Linked DNA regions of Stegostoma tigrinum. The protein of the gene in region 1 interacts with the protein of each later gene in a pairwise test. Links are inferred from orthologs where the notes say so. Each region holds a gene or a part of one and is shown on either strand. Other genes may lie near its edges.

Evidence for each region.
Region 2: the proteins of RNA-binding protein EWS-like (region 1) and mvk interact in a two-hybrid assay, tested with the Homo sapiens proteins (2 studies listed by BioGRID and IntAct). The two-hybrid records come from large-scale screens. The link is inferred for Stegostoma tigrinum from reciprocal best matches to the Homo sapiens genes EWSR1 and MVK.

Annotation. Positions count from the first base shown.
Region 1 is NC_081379.1:21,259,516-21,267,126, forward strand, and holds the start of RNA-binding protein EWS-like, read right to left. Parts: upstream 3,022-7,611; 5' UTR 2,691-3,021; coding exon 2,678-2,690; intron 1-2,677. Other genes in the region: rhbdd3 (rhomboid domain-containing protein 3), read left to right, coding at 3,645-3,813. UniProt on the Homo sapiens protein: Binds to ssRNA containing the consensus sequence 5'-AGGUAA-3'. Might normally function as a transcriptional repressor. EWS-fusion-proteins (EFPS) may play a role in the tumorigenic process.
Region 2 is NC_081379.1:12,065,794-12,073,173, reverse strand, and holds the start of mvk (mevalonate kinase), read right to left. Parts: upstream 3,002-7,380; 5' UTR 2,966-3,001; coding exon 2,861-2,965; intron 1,266-2,860; coding exon 1,118-1,265; intron 223-1,117; exon of another isoform or gene 153-222; intron 1-152. Other genes in the region: mmab (corrinoid adenosyltransferase), read left to right, coding at 4,287-4,705. UniProt on the Homo sapiens protein: Catalyzes the phosphorylation of mevalonate to mevalonate 5-phosphate, a key step in isoprenoid and cholesterol biosynthesis.

The DNA of each region.
Region 1 (7,611 bases):
GGTGTGCACATTTGTATGCATTTGAATGTTACAAGAGAAAAAAGTCAGCATAAAAACCCATTGTATATGTATATTGCAACATTGCTTTGATTAAGAATTTAAGCCCCAAATCAACTTCCAAAACTGTATTGCTGCATTTGTACTTGTTAGCAATTCCTCCTACATCCAAGACACACAAAAGCTCGTAAGCATAGAAACTTACATGTATCAAAATCCTCTCCTTACTCCTTTACCAATGAATATATTTGAAATGAGATGCAACTATTAATTATTAGGTAGGTTTAACATACAATGAATGGCTGAGGATCCTGGGATTGTATTCATTAGAGTTTAGAAGGTTGAGGGGAGATCTAATAGAAACTCAAGATAATGTATGGCTTAGAAAGGATGGATGCTGGGAAGTTGTTTCCGTTAGGCGGGGAGACGAGCACCTGTGGGCACAGCCTTAGAATTAGAGGGGGTAGATTTAAAACAGCAATGAGGAGACATTTCTTCAGCCAGAAAGTGGTGGGCATGTGGAATTCACTGCCACCGAGTGCACTGGAGGCCGGGACGTTAAATGTCTTCAAGGCAGAGATCGATAAATTCTTGATCTCACAAAGGAATTAAGGGCTACAGGGTGAGTGCAGGGAAGTGGAGTTGAAACGCCCAGACATGATTAAATGGCAGAATGGACTCGATGGGCCGAATCGCTTTACTTCCACTCCCATGTCTTATGAAGCCTATAGAATCCTTTCCCCTTCCTCAACTTTCACCTGTTGAAATATTAGTATAGACAGCTTTTCAAAGAAAATTTATGCCTCCAACCAACCACAGTTATACATCTCATTTAGTTTTGGGCCCACTCCAGAAACCTGGTTAACTGTGGACACAACATATGTAGCTTTTACTGAGGTTTTTCTAATTTTGACTTCTAGGATGAGAAGCTGCCATCCACAGGTCCAGTAAAGCTCTAATTCGGTCAATCCTGCATTCATTGAATGATTACAACCAAAATAGTTTAAAGGTCAGTTTAAACTAATAACCAATTTCAGTAACAGCTTAAAGTCTATTTTTCCTTTCCCATAAGAACCCTCAATTCTGTACCCAAGTCCCAAGTAGAATAACTATCGATAATAAAGGCTTCCTCGTTCTCCACTGCAGCCCTTCCCAGTTTATTGATGAACACTAGACACCCATGGTCAATGCCACAGATGACAGGAGACTGACCCTTAAAAGTTTAAATTAGCAGGTCTCAACAAACGACACAAAGAATCAAAAGGCTCAATTTTTAGGATGCGAGGTGTAAGTAATTTTAGGAGCATTACTGGGCTAAACGTTTGAATTGTTTTATGTAGGCTTTATTCAGCAGTGAACGTACAAACTTGACTTTTTTTAATACCAAATCCCGGATATGAATGTAAAAATATACCACAGTCAAGACTTCAAATTTATTAAAAAAAAGAAAAAGTCACACAATGGCCAGCGATTTTCAATACCAGTAAAAGATATTGAAGAGGACGACGAAAGTCACCCCATGTTCTTTAACCGGAAACATGCAAATGTTGAGTTCCCACTAAAATCATTAGGACATTAGAGAGTTCACGATTAACCTTTGGTACGCTACCAGAGGGTAACGTATATGAACCCAAAAATTAAACCTTGCTGCATCCAAAAGTTACAGAATCAATTTGAACTAAGTCACACGCGGTCCCCACAGTACCGTCAAACAAAAAGAAATTTCAGATCCTATGCGCGACTCCATTTTGGCACAGTGCCAACAGTTAAAAACATTCTTTAAAAATGTAAAATGAGCCACGCCGATATAAAGAGCCGATCGGTTCGTAGCAAGTGTTGCGCGATTTTGGTGGGGTGGAAAAAAAATCGAACCGACTTTTCAAAAGTTGCAAAATCCCAAATGGTGCAGTTTTTAAAAAAAAATCAATTTAATCACACCAGATTCGAAAATACGTATAGAGGACTGGGGAGATGAATCTCTACGCAAAGTATTTGTTACGAAACGTTGTACTGGCTGACCCTCGCCCTCTTCTCCTTTCCCCACCCCGACTAGGCCTCGACGCTAACGGATCGCCAGGAAAGGGACACACTTCCGCCCCGTCGGTGAAAACTCCGCCTCGGAGTCTCCCAAGGGCGAGGGAGCGTGGCGGCAGTGGCAGCCGGTCAACACTAGCGGAGCGGGCCCGGCTTCGTCGTCGGCTTTCACACGTTGACCCCCGCAGCTTTGTGGCGCAGCTACGTTCCTGCGGGGGAGGTGCGCTCTCGCTCTCACACACACACACATCCCGAGGCCCCAACGGCTACAAGGCCGGCCAATCCACCAGCCTCCCTTTTCTTCACCCTCCCTCACCACTCCCCCCCCCCACCACCAACAAAAAAAAATCACCCGACACGCGATATCGGGGACTGAGGCCTAAACCCTCTTCCAATCTTTTCTAAAAAAAACGCCTCCTAGATGGTATCTTAAGTGGGGGGGGGGGGGGGGGGTGTGGGGAGAAGAAAGAAAAAAAACTCGATGTAATCGCCGGCGACCAACAACCCTTTTCAGAAAATAAAATAACACCGGTGGTGAGGTCGAAAGCAGAAAAGAACCGTTATCGTCCGGGGGTGGGTGGGGTAACCGGGCATACGACCCGAGCGCCTTTAAATCCGATGCCAACAGTTAGAGACTCCCTCTTACCCGTCGACGCCATCTTCACCGACCTCTGACTGCCTGCGAAACACGCCTGCGCGGAGCCCCGCCGGACTCAACCACTTAATTTGGCGCCTTGCGCAACTCGCGCCGGAAATGTTTTAATTCAAAAAAAAGGGCCTCGACTCCAATCGCCACGATCCCGCCCGAGTTCTCAAATTGTTACGCAGATATTACAGGTGGACACCGCCGACGACCCCTTCCCCTCTGCTTTACATAGGATTGTCAAAACGAAATTTAAAAAAAAACGATGATTACGAAAGAACGGGGCTGGCCTCTATCCGCCGATTCGCGGCCGAGGCTTTATGTTTAAATGTCTGCCTCCACGTCGCGCTATTTAAAGACAAGGCGGCGCACTGATGCGTCCAGCGTAACGCGGTAAACCGTTCGGGTAGAACAATGGAGGGAATGTAGCGCCTTGTTGATGGTTCCGGGCCGGTCGCGATGGAAACGCGGCCATTTCGCTTCAGCCACCATCACTATGCGTACCTCGTATCCCCGCTTCTCTTTTCTTTCGATTCTCTCCTCCATTGCGTTGGGCGCGCGGACATTATGTCTTTCCTCACGGGTTTGAAAGCGGGCTGAAATAAAACGCACCGTCTCCACTGTCATACAATCCGTAACCTTGCACGGAGGTTTTGTTTTAATATAATCAGATCCGCCATAACGTGGCTGTAGTAAAGACAACACCGCCCTTCACTCCTTCAAGTCTCCCTCCCTCTCTGCTCGACGCCAGTCAGCGATGCTCGGTCCTGTTGTGGGGTGTATCTCAGGGGTGTGGTGGGTGTCTCCACCCCGGTAAAGAGCCAACGAAGAGGGAGGCCGGTGATCGGGCACCGAGTAAGAAGGTCTTCGGAGGAACTCCACACCCACCCCGATATTATTATTATCATCATCATGATGTCGCGGCGACAATAATCAAGACATTTTCTTCTCCGACCCGCCGGGGGTTGGGATGGGACGCTGCGGCGACTGGGTGCGGGCCGGCCTCGGGGTGGCCCGAGTCAGGGCCCGGGTGCCGAGCGCCAGCGCCGCCTTCCTCGCCCTTGTTCTCTTGTTGTGGCTGACCGGGCCCGAGGAGGCTTTTACCCTGACAGCCAGCTCGGTGCTCTCTCACCGCCAAGGTAAGTGCCTCATCCTCATCCACCACCAAATTAGCAAATTTACTGGATGGTGGGACTAAATCCTAATCCGAGATAACTCCATAGCAAACTGTCCAAAACACACCGAGCCTCTGACTTGACGACCGGATTGGGCCAGAAATTCTGCCTGTAGTGTTTTGGACGAATACTTGGGTAAAAATAACGTGCAAGAGTATGAGAGGAGTAAAAATAGGTGACTGGTACTAAGAAAATGATGCCTGTTTGATGAGTTGGTGCAGGCAAAATGGATCGAATGGTCTCCGTCTACGCTGTAACACTTAATGTGAGTTGCATCCTAGTTTAGATGTTAAAAATGGTAAAGTTTGCTTCGGTTATCATTTATATGTGGAAATACAGTCATAGAGTTTTACAGCATAGTAGGACGCCCTTTGGCTCATTGTATCGATGTAGGTTCGTCAGGCACCTGTCTACTTTCGTCCTAATTCTCAGCACTTGGTCCGTAGCCTTGTATGCTGTGACACTTCAAGTGTACATCTAAACACATCTTAAATGTTGGCCACCGCCTTTCAGCCAGAGTTCCAAATACTCAATTTCCCTCTGCGTGACAAAATCTTCTGCTTAGATCTCTTTTAAAGCTCCTGCCCTTACCCTAAATTTGTGTTTCTTGTATTAAGGGGGAAAATATATTCCTATTGACCCCACCTGTGCCCTCCATAATTTGTATACTTCAACCAGGTCCTGCATCAGCCTTCTCTGCTCCAAGCAAAATGAATGAGTTGTCGGTGGAAATGGTGGAGGCTGGTACAATTATGACATTTAAAAGACATCTGGATGGATATAAGAATAGGAAGGATTTAGAGGGATATGGGCAAAATGCTGACAAATGGGACTAGATTAATTTAGGATATCTGGTTGGCGTGGACAAGTTAGACTGATACATTTGTTTCCGTGCTATACATTTCTATGATTCCAGAGATACAATTCCAGCTATGGTCTAACCTGCATCTGACACAGCTCCATCAAAACCTCCTTGTTCTTGTATTCACTACCTCACTCAATAAAGGCAAGAATCCCATATGCCGCCTTAACTATCCTATCCATCTGTATTGTTGCCTTCAAGGACCTATGAACATGCACAGGCCTACTTCATCATGTACTCCTTTACCTTGCTGTTCTTCCCAAAATACATGTGACATGCTTTTTGGCATTAAACCCAGTTTCTAACTTTTAGCCATTTGAGGAAACCAACCATATCTTCCCACAGTCTAAAGTTTTTGTCCTCACTGTTTACAACACTTGTTTTTTTTTGTTACCTACAAACTGATTAAATCACCAACATCCATGACTAAATCATTAATGCAAACTAACCTGTGGTATGTCACTGGACGAGACATTCAGTTGTAAGAACAACCTTCAATCAGCACCCTGTGTGTCCTGCCACTGAGCCAATTTTAAACTGCCCAGGATTTGAAGCATCCATCAATTTGAAAGGAAAGTGGAAAAGCAAATCTTTTAATTTTAGGAATACAGACATTTACTTGCCAGATTCCTTTTATATCCAGGAAATCTGAAATCAATATAATGTTCATTACCTTTCCCATACACTATAGTTCATTTGACATGTATTTATAGACCAACGATTATTACATTTTTATTGCATTCCTTGTAATATTGTATAAAGATGAAAATGGTTTACATGTATTTGGACTAAAGATGTTTAAAACACAGATGTGTCTGTGGCACTACTTTACTGAGCAATTAGAAGCTAATTCACAAATTCCGATTAAAGCTTTTCAATGCAAAATGCCCGCAGATTTCTCGACTCCTCAGTATTTTGTGCATTTTGTATTTCTGTATCAGGTTCCCAGCTGCAGCAGTATTTTGCACTGGCATAAATTAACCCCATAGCCCCTGGCTTTCTCCTTTGGAATGCTTTGCTGGCCCAAAGAAATTTACCCTAAAAATCCTAAAGAAGTACAAACAATTACTTTGGGCAAACAAGTGCCTGTTTGGCTGAATGATAACATTCTGATCTGCAAGTAAGGAACATAGAACATTACAGCACAGTACAGGCCCTTCGGCCCTCGATGTTGTGCCGACGTGTCATACCAATCTGAAGCCCATCTAACCTACACTATTCCATGTACATCCATATGCTTATCCAATGACGGCTTAAATGTACCTAAAGTTGGCAAATCTACTACTGTTGCAGGCAAAGCGTTCCATTCCCTTACTACTCTCTGAGTAAAGAAACTACCTCTGATATCTGTCCTATATCTTTCACCACTCAATTTAAAGCTATGCCCCCTCGTGCTCGCTGTCACCATCCTAGGAAAACGGCTTTCCCTATCCACCCTATCTAACTCTCTGATTATTTTATATGTTTCAATTAAGTCACCTCTGAACCTTCTTCTCTCTAATGAAAACAGCCTCAAGTGCCTCAGCGTTTCCTCGTAAGACCTTCCCTCCATACCAGGCAACATCCTAGTAAATCTCCTCTGCACCCTTTCCAAAGCTTCCACATCCTTCTTATAATGCGGTGACCAGAACTGTACACAATACTCCAAGTGCAGCCGCACCAGAGTTTTGTACAGCTGTGGCATAACCTCTTAAGTGGCAACTTTAAATGCCACATTTTCATTTTCTAGACTGACAATTCAGTGCGCTATTAAATGATCATCACATGATTGGAAATGTTCATTTTCGAGTGAGATCTTTCAGCTGGAGCTAAAATAGCTCATGGTAAAAGAAAACATAGTTGTGTTCCCAAATGTAGTGATCAATGTTTATTCTTCAACAGCAAAAACCCCAAATATATATTTCAAAGATAGTAAGAACTGCAGATGCTGGAGAATCTGAGATAACAAGATTAGAGCTGGATGAACACAGCAGGCCAAGCAGCATCAGAGGAGCAACGAAGCTGACGTTTCAGGCCTAGTCCGTTTTTCAGAAATGGGGGAGGGAACGGGGTTCTGAAATAAATAGGGAGAGAGGGAGAGGTGCATGGAGGGGGAAGATAGGTGGAGAGGAGACAGACAGGTCAAAGAGGTAGGGATGGAGCCAGTAAAGGTGAGCATAGGTGGGGAGTTAGGGAGGTCAGTCCAGGGAGGAGGGACAGGTCAAGGGTGTGGGATGAGGCTGAGGTTTTCTGGATGATCAGTTATTTTGATAGAGACAAAACTCTCTAGACTCAACAATTGGAGGTAATAGATTTAAAGTTATTGCGGTAAGAAGAGCGAAGATGTGGATTTTTCTTTTAGTTTTCAGTGTCTGGAATGCTCTACCTCCGCAGGTGATGGAAGCTGATTCATAAATAAATATAAATATAACCATACTAGAGGATAAATAAGGGTTATGGGATTTTAAAAAAAACATGGGGGTTTAAAAATGTCTGCTCTTTCAAGGACAGGCCAAATGGCTTCCTTCTGTGTTGTAAGTTCCTATGATCAAACAGACTATACTTCCCGAATAATGAATGAGCTACAAGATACTTTCAGCCATTCTGAAGATGTGTCTGTCTGCTATAAGTGCAAATTCTTTCACTGTCAGAGTAGATAAATACAGCAAGAAAATTATGCAGAGTAAAGTTGCAAAGGAAGTAAGTTAATTAGCAGTTCCTTGTTTGTGGTGTTGGTTGAAAGATGAATTAGGAGAACTTCCTCCTGGTTTACTGTAGAATCTTCTGCTCGATTTTTAGCGGATAGGTGTTAAATAGTGCGACAAAGTCTCACTAATGAGCAGCGAGAGGCTCATTTGCTTGCATTAACATCTTTTTATTACTTAATTTCATTTCATTAATATTTAGTTTTCCATTCTCCC
Region 2 (7,380 bases), about 9.2 Mb from region 1:
ATGGCTAAATTTGCTGATAACGCCAAGATAGACAGAAAAGTAAGTTGTCAATGGGAAGACAGCCTGCAATTGACAATAGAAAGATCAAGTATGTGAGCTAAAATTAGGCAGATGGGACATGTGGGTTGATGTGAATTTGTTCATTTTGGCAGGAACAATAGAAAAATCAGTCTACTGTTCAAATGGAGAGAGGTGGCAGATGTTGGTGCTACAGCGATCTGAGTAAGTAACATGTCTCCTATAAGAAATTGGCGCAGCTACTTTTCTTTCAGAATGTCATTATTTTGTGGAATTCTCTTCTTCAGAAAACAATGGAGGCCAGGTCATTAATTTTATTCAAAGTGGAGTTAGATAGATTTTAGATTGACAAGCAAATCAAAATGATCTTATGGATTGGAAGGCCAGGCTCAAAAAACTGAACAGCCTACTTAATTTATTCCTGTGAGAAACAGACATAAATGCCCAGTCCTGAGGAAGGGTCACCGGACCCGAAACATTAATTCTGACTTCTCTTCACAGGAGCTGCCAGACCCGTTCAGCTTTTCCAGCAACTTCTGTTTCTGTTCCTGATTTACAGCATTGCAGTTCTTTTGGTTTTTAAAAAAATGCCCCTTTGTCTTTTAATTACATTCAGGCAGAAATAGGCATCTTCCATCAATTTCTCCATCCATGCCCCAAGCAGTACATTTGGGATTTCTCATGTAACATGCAAAACTACAATGCCATGTGGATTAACACAAAGCCATGTTCCAGAATATTCGGTTAAATCATGTTTGAATGTTGCAAATTTTTCTCCCAATATTTCTTCACTTTTTATTCCCAGTTTCCTGTACCCAACTTGCTGCGAGTGTTATTTTGATCTGACCATCAAAAAAATAAGAATATCTTCTGGAATATTTCCTGCATACAATAATCACGTATCTATTCATCCACCTCAAAACAGCAGCTTGTCTTAGATCCAGATCCCACTGGTGCAAGAATCTGTGTCCCAACATGGTGCTTCTACTGGCTGCCCCATCTTTTATGCTAATTGTCTTATGAATTAATGTCTCTAAAAGAGCTTGCAGGTACAATGTGCTTTATTAATTATAATTTTGTTCATTTGTGTGCATCTTACCATCAATTGCTGACTGCAGAAACTGCAGGGCAGCAGATTTCCAACTAAGATGGACATTAATATTTGGTAAGATTAATTGCACTTTTTGATCAGCACAAGGTTGCAGCCGGAGATATGTTTTCAAGTTTAAGCTGACTGCCAGAGCTACCTACAAATACAAAAATATTTAGCATTAGCAGCTGAGAGTTTCAAAAATAATACATTGTGTTCCAACTGCAGAAGAAAATAAAATGATTTCTGTCTGCTACAATAATACCAAACAAAAGCATTTAGTTTTAAAGATGCTGATTGCCATTTGCCTTAACACCTAGTTTGCCAAAGGAACAAAAAAAAGGAAAAATAAAACACTGTACAGTTCATTAATAAAAACTGAATATAGGAGAGTGACTACAGATTGAACAAATGATTTACCACGGTTGAAGAATTACCATTTCACCTGACTCTATGACATTTTATGCCAACTGAATTAAATCAAATGAACATTCAAACTTAAAATTAGTCACAAAGGAAGCAAGGTTACTATAGTATGAGTGAAAGAAAACAAAGCAGGGTGTGTCCCTGTGATCTTCAGCATTATATCTGCTTCTGACTTCATAGATGCTGCCCGGCCCACTGAGCTTTTCCAGCAGGTTTTTTTTAAATCAACCTGTTGTGTGAACTATACATGACCCCTGGCTTTCGAAAAATACCTCACAACCCTCCTTTATAAACTAAAATTAGTTATCAAAAGTTGCTAGACTAGCAATTAGTTGCATAAAAGAACCAAAAACTAGCTGGGTTGAAATGGCATATGCGCAAGAAAACAAACTGTGCTGCATCCTAAAGATTTGTGTTGCGAGACCTCTAATTTGTTCAGATACAAAATAAGAAGGAATCACAGTCTCAGGAAGGACACAGCAGAGATAGCATCACACTGGTAAACTCAAATGAGGAGCCATCTTTGAACTGGTGGCACATATAATCCCTCATGGGACAGAGCTTCACAAAGGGTGCGGTGAAATAGATCTTAAAAGCGTGGGTTGCCTTCTTGTTTACTGGCATCTCTAGATGTGATAAGCAAAGTAAACAGGGTTATATTGTCAAATTAAAACTTCTAACTCATATTTGGACTCCTGCACAGAGCATGTGGCCACCACCCAACAATGACAATTTTTCAGAACACTGGGTCAATACAAATATGAGCAATGAGAATGATCCTTGCTGTCAGAAGGTAACATTAAAAAGAAGACTTTACAGAGTGTTTATAACTAAATTCAGCCCAGACTCTACATCAGGCCTCTACTCTCAAATATCAAGGCAAGAAGTCCTGCATTCCAGGCTCACCTCATGTATACTCACCTCAAGTAGATGTCATTGGGAAAGGACATAGTTCCTGCAATCTCCTACTCACCTTGAGCTACACAATTGAGGTTAATCCCCAGGATTACTACAAAAAAGACCTGTTTCAGATATGGTACAGAAACGTGATGGGTATTTCTTGGCCAGGTGCTAGGAAGTCTTTCCTTATGCAGTGATTAACTGCTAGATACCTCTATCAAGAAGAGCAGCTGAAGCCAGAGCACTGGAATTATGCAAGAAGTAACCAGTTGCTTTTGTAATAAGATGTAATCTTGATCTAAACTTGGTGATCTATACAACGTGAATGTGAAAATTCAAGCCATCTAACTGAGGATGTTATCAACTGTTTATTCTCTTTATAAATCAGCAACTTCATGGACAAATTCAGATAGATTCCCTTGCTACCTGTAATTGCCGTTGCGGTTTTTTCCACACCATTTGTGCTTCTTGATGTGCTGAACTGATTGAAGTCAAACTAGCCCAAATCAAACCTGAGATTCTCTCTTTCATATACAAAATGCAATGCTCGTTTTTCCTTCAGTTACATGCCAGATTACCTTCCCATGCACCACTGCATGTTCTCCATGCAATATCAACTTCCCAGGAGCAGATATAATAAATGTCTTGTTTGCCATTGTGAAGTGTACCCTGAAAGACACAAATGTATTTACTTCTTGATTAGGATCCTAAAATCAGAGTCAAAATGATATGGCAATGAAGTTATTACAGAAGCCTTAAAAAAAGATTTATCATTAGTAAAATATACTACAATCCAACATTCATAGAATATACATATATGTGTTGTTTTGAATTCCAGCAGCACAATTTATTATCCATCCATCGTGAGCTACAAGAATTTCTGATGATTTCTGAGATGTTTGCTTCTTTTAAAATTGCCTACCAAACTTGAAACAAAAATAGAAATTGCTGGATATGCTCAGCAGGTCTCATGGCATCTACAGAGAGAAATCAGAGTTAACATCTCAGGTCAAGTGACAATTCCTCAGAACTCAGCAAACATGCATTTATATCACTTTTCAGGATGTTCCAAAGCACTTTGCTACCTATGACACCTGTTGAAGTGTAACGTAGAATGCACACACATATCTATATGCAGAATGTTCTGTGGGCATCAGCAAGATTCTGCTCTTTTAAGGGAATTCCTGAAGAAAATACTAGACTCAAAACACTAGCTTTGTCTCCACGGATGCTGCCAAGCCAGTTGAGTTTGTCCAACACTTTCTGATTATATTTCAGCTATCCAACATCTAAAGTATTTTGCTTTTAAGTGATGTTGGTTGAGGGATAAGTATTTGTCAGAGAAGTCCCACATGTTTTTTTCCTTCGAAGTAGTGCTTTGGGATCCTTTTGTATCCACAAGGATGCACGTTTCGCGCTGCGGCACTCCGTGGACGCCTTATTTGATATTCACCCTGAAAGCCAGGGTGTTGCACACCACATCATAGGCAACATCTTTGAACGTTAATGAAGCTGTGGCACTCACAAATCCTAACTTCTTATTTTATCCTGACCACAACCCAAATGCAATGGCTTCGCTTGATTTTGATTCCGATGAAGAAGGGTCCATTACCTGGAAGCTTCAGGAGCAGCTGCGTGTTTCCAGCATTTTCTGCTGTTTAATGAAACGTTTCATTCTACTATCAAAAGAGAGAGCGAGAGGTGAGAAGAGGTGGAAATTGTCCAAATTATTGACATTGATGTCGAACACCAAAAATATTTTAAAGACCCATCCAACGACACCACAGCTGCCGCCTCGCCACCAAAGCACCACCCTCAGGAGGCGGTGCCTCATTCCAACCCAGCCAATCAAATGGCAGCGCTCCGGTCACCACGCACCAACGAGGGAGCGAGATCCCCTGTTAATCGGACGCCGCTCCAACGCATCACGGCCGGGGCAGCACCTCCAGCCAAACACCGAGCTCTTGGAGAGTCACGACCAATCAAAGGATGGACTCTTTGTTTCGGAGCCAATGAACACGGCCCGGCTGATCGACGGGACGAGCCTAACCGACCAATGGGAGACGGAGAAGCCGGGAAGGGAGCGGGGTGGTTGTTCCGTGCACTGGCCAATGGGGTGATAGGGTTCCGGTGGCCTGACGGCGGCGCGAGCGCGAGGGGTCGGATGTTGGCGGTTTTTCTCCGGGCGGCTGCAAAGGGGCGCGGCTGCCGAGTACCGGCTGCCGCTTGGTTATGGAGAAGGCGGAGCTACTCCAGTGCAGACAGTGATGGGTGAGCGCTGTCTGAAGAGGAAGAACTAATAAGTTGGGGGGGGAGAGACGAGAAGGAGAGGTGTGTTAACATTGACGTGTATGTTAATGAAAGATGTGTTGACATCAGTCCTCACCGTAGGCCCCGTCGTTCACCGTCCACAAGAATGGAGATTTTCTTAAAAAACATCGTTTTGTGGGATATGAAAGATAATGGGAACTGCAGATGCTGGAGAATTCCAAGATAATAAAATGTGAGGCTGGATGAACACAGCAGGCCAAGCAGCATCTCAGGAGCACAAAAGCTTTTGTGCTCCTGAGATGCTGCATGGCCTGCTGTGTTCATCCAGCCTCACATTTTATTGTTTTGTGGGATATGAGCGTCGCTGGCTGACTAGCATTTATTGCATGCCTTCGTTGCCCTTGAGAAGGTGGCGATGAATTGCCTTCTGAACCACTGTTGCTCTGTCAGTTGGCCAACAATGCCATTAGGGAGGGAATTCCAGGATTTTGACTCAGCAACAGTGAAGGAATGGTGATTTTATTTCCAGCTCAGAATGGAGTGTGGCTTGTATGTATCTGCTGCTCTTGTCTTCCTAGGTAGAAGTGGTTTTGGGTTTGGAAGGTGCTGTCTCAAGATCTTTGACCTTCTTCAGGGCATCTTGTAGATAGTACACACTGCTGCTACTGAGCATCGGTGGTGGAGGCTGTTGGTGCTTGTGGATTACAGTGTGATGAAATACTCCCACATGCTCAGATGGATATAGCTCCAGCAACATTTGAGATGCTGCACACCATCCAGGACAAAATTCCCTGTTTGAATGGCATTGCATCTACTCCCCTCATCATTGTCATTCAGTAGCAAGCAGTACTGTGTACAAGATGCACTGCAGATAACACTGTACATTCCACACCTATGACCACTGTAGGAGGAGGACAGCAGCGATATAGAAACACTACCACCTGTATGTTTTCCTCTGAGCTACTTGCCACTCAAAATTGGTAATGTGTTTCTATACCTTCTGAGTCAAATTCCTTCCCAAACAGCACTGTTGGTGTACCAAATGGACTGGAGGGGTTTGGGAAGATAACTTCCTTGTCAGCATCAACCAGGGATGGCAATAAGTGCTGCCCCAGCTGGTGATGTCTGCATCCTTTTATTGAATAAAAGAAATTGACACTAGCTGAGGGAACATACAGTTTAAAAACAACAATAATGCCTGGAATTGAATTTATTGGACTCCCATTTGGAAGTACACAAGTACGTCAGGCTTGCTTGTTTTATTGTTTTTGTTTCCATCTGGCACTGCCTTCCTTTTGTTACTACTTTTTTGCCATACCAAACAAATGATGGGACCAGAGATAATGGGAACTGCAGATGCTGGAGATTCCAAGATAATAAAATGTGAGGCTGGATGAACACAGCAGGCCAAGCAGCATCTCAGGAGCACAAAAGCTGACGTTTCGGGCCTAGACCCTTCATCAGAGAGGGGGATGGGGGGAGGGAATTGGAATAAATAGGGAGAGAGGGGGAGGCGGACCGAGGATGGAGAGTAAAGAAGATAGGTGGAGAGGGTGTAGGTGGGGAGGTAGGGAGGGGATAGGTCAGTCCAGGGAAGACGGACAGGTCAAGGAGGTGGGATGAGGTTAGTAGGTAGCTGGGGGTGTGGCTTGGGGTGGGAGGAAGGGATGGGTGAGAGGAAGAACCGGTTAGGGAGGCAGAGACAGGTTGGACTGGTTTTGGGATGCAGTGGGTGGGGGGGAAGAGCTGGGCTGGTTGTGTGGTGCAGTGGGGGAAGGGGATGAACTGGGCTGGTTTAGGGATGCAGTAGGGGAAGGGGAGATTTTGAAACTGGTGAAGTCCACATTGATACCATATGGCTGCAGGGTTCCCAGGCGGAATATGAGTTGCTGTTCCTGCAACCTTCGGGTGGCATCATTGTGGCAGTGCAGGAGGCCCATGATGGACATGTCATCAAGAGAATGGGAGGGGGAGTGGAAATGGTTTGCGACTGGGAGGTGCAGTTGTTTGTTGCGAACTGAGCGGAGGTGTTCTGCAAAGCGGTCCCCAAGCCTCCGCTTGGTTTCCCCAATCATCCCAAAACCAGTCCAACCTGTCTCTGCCTCCCTAACCGGTTCTTCCTCTCACCCATCCCTTCCTCCCACCCCAAGCCGCACCCCCAGCTACCTACTAACCTCATCCCACCTCCTTGACCTGTCCGTCTTCCCTGGACTGACCTATCCCCTCCCTACCTCCCCACCTACACCCTCTCCACCTATCTTCTTTACTCTCCATCCTCGGTCCGCCTCCCCCTCTCTCCCTATTTATTCCAGTTCCCTCCCCCCATCCCCCTCTCTGATGAAGGGTCTAGGCCCGAAACGTCAGCTTTTGTGCTCCTGAGATGCTGCTTGGCCTGCTGTGTTCATCCAGCCTCACATTTTATTATCTTATAAATGATGGGACCATGTCAGTCCTGCTGTTGGCACCAGTTTTCTGCAGTAACAGGAAGATGGAGCCCCATTTAAAGGGAAAATAATAGATACGTTGAATATGATATGTTTGTAGTCTTTTTAATTCAATTTAATATATATGTAAGGTGTATGTGGGGATATAACACCTTTCATACAAATTAACACAATCATACAAAGAACTCAGATTCACTAAATGCTTCTAATCTTAAATTTAAACCAACTATG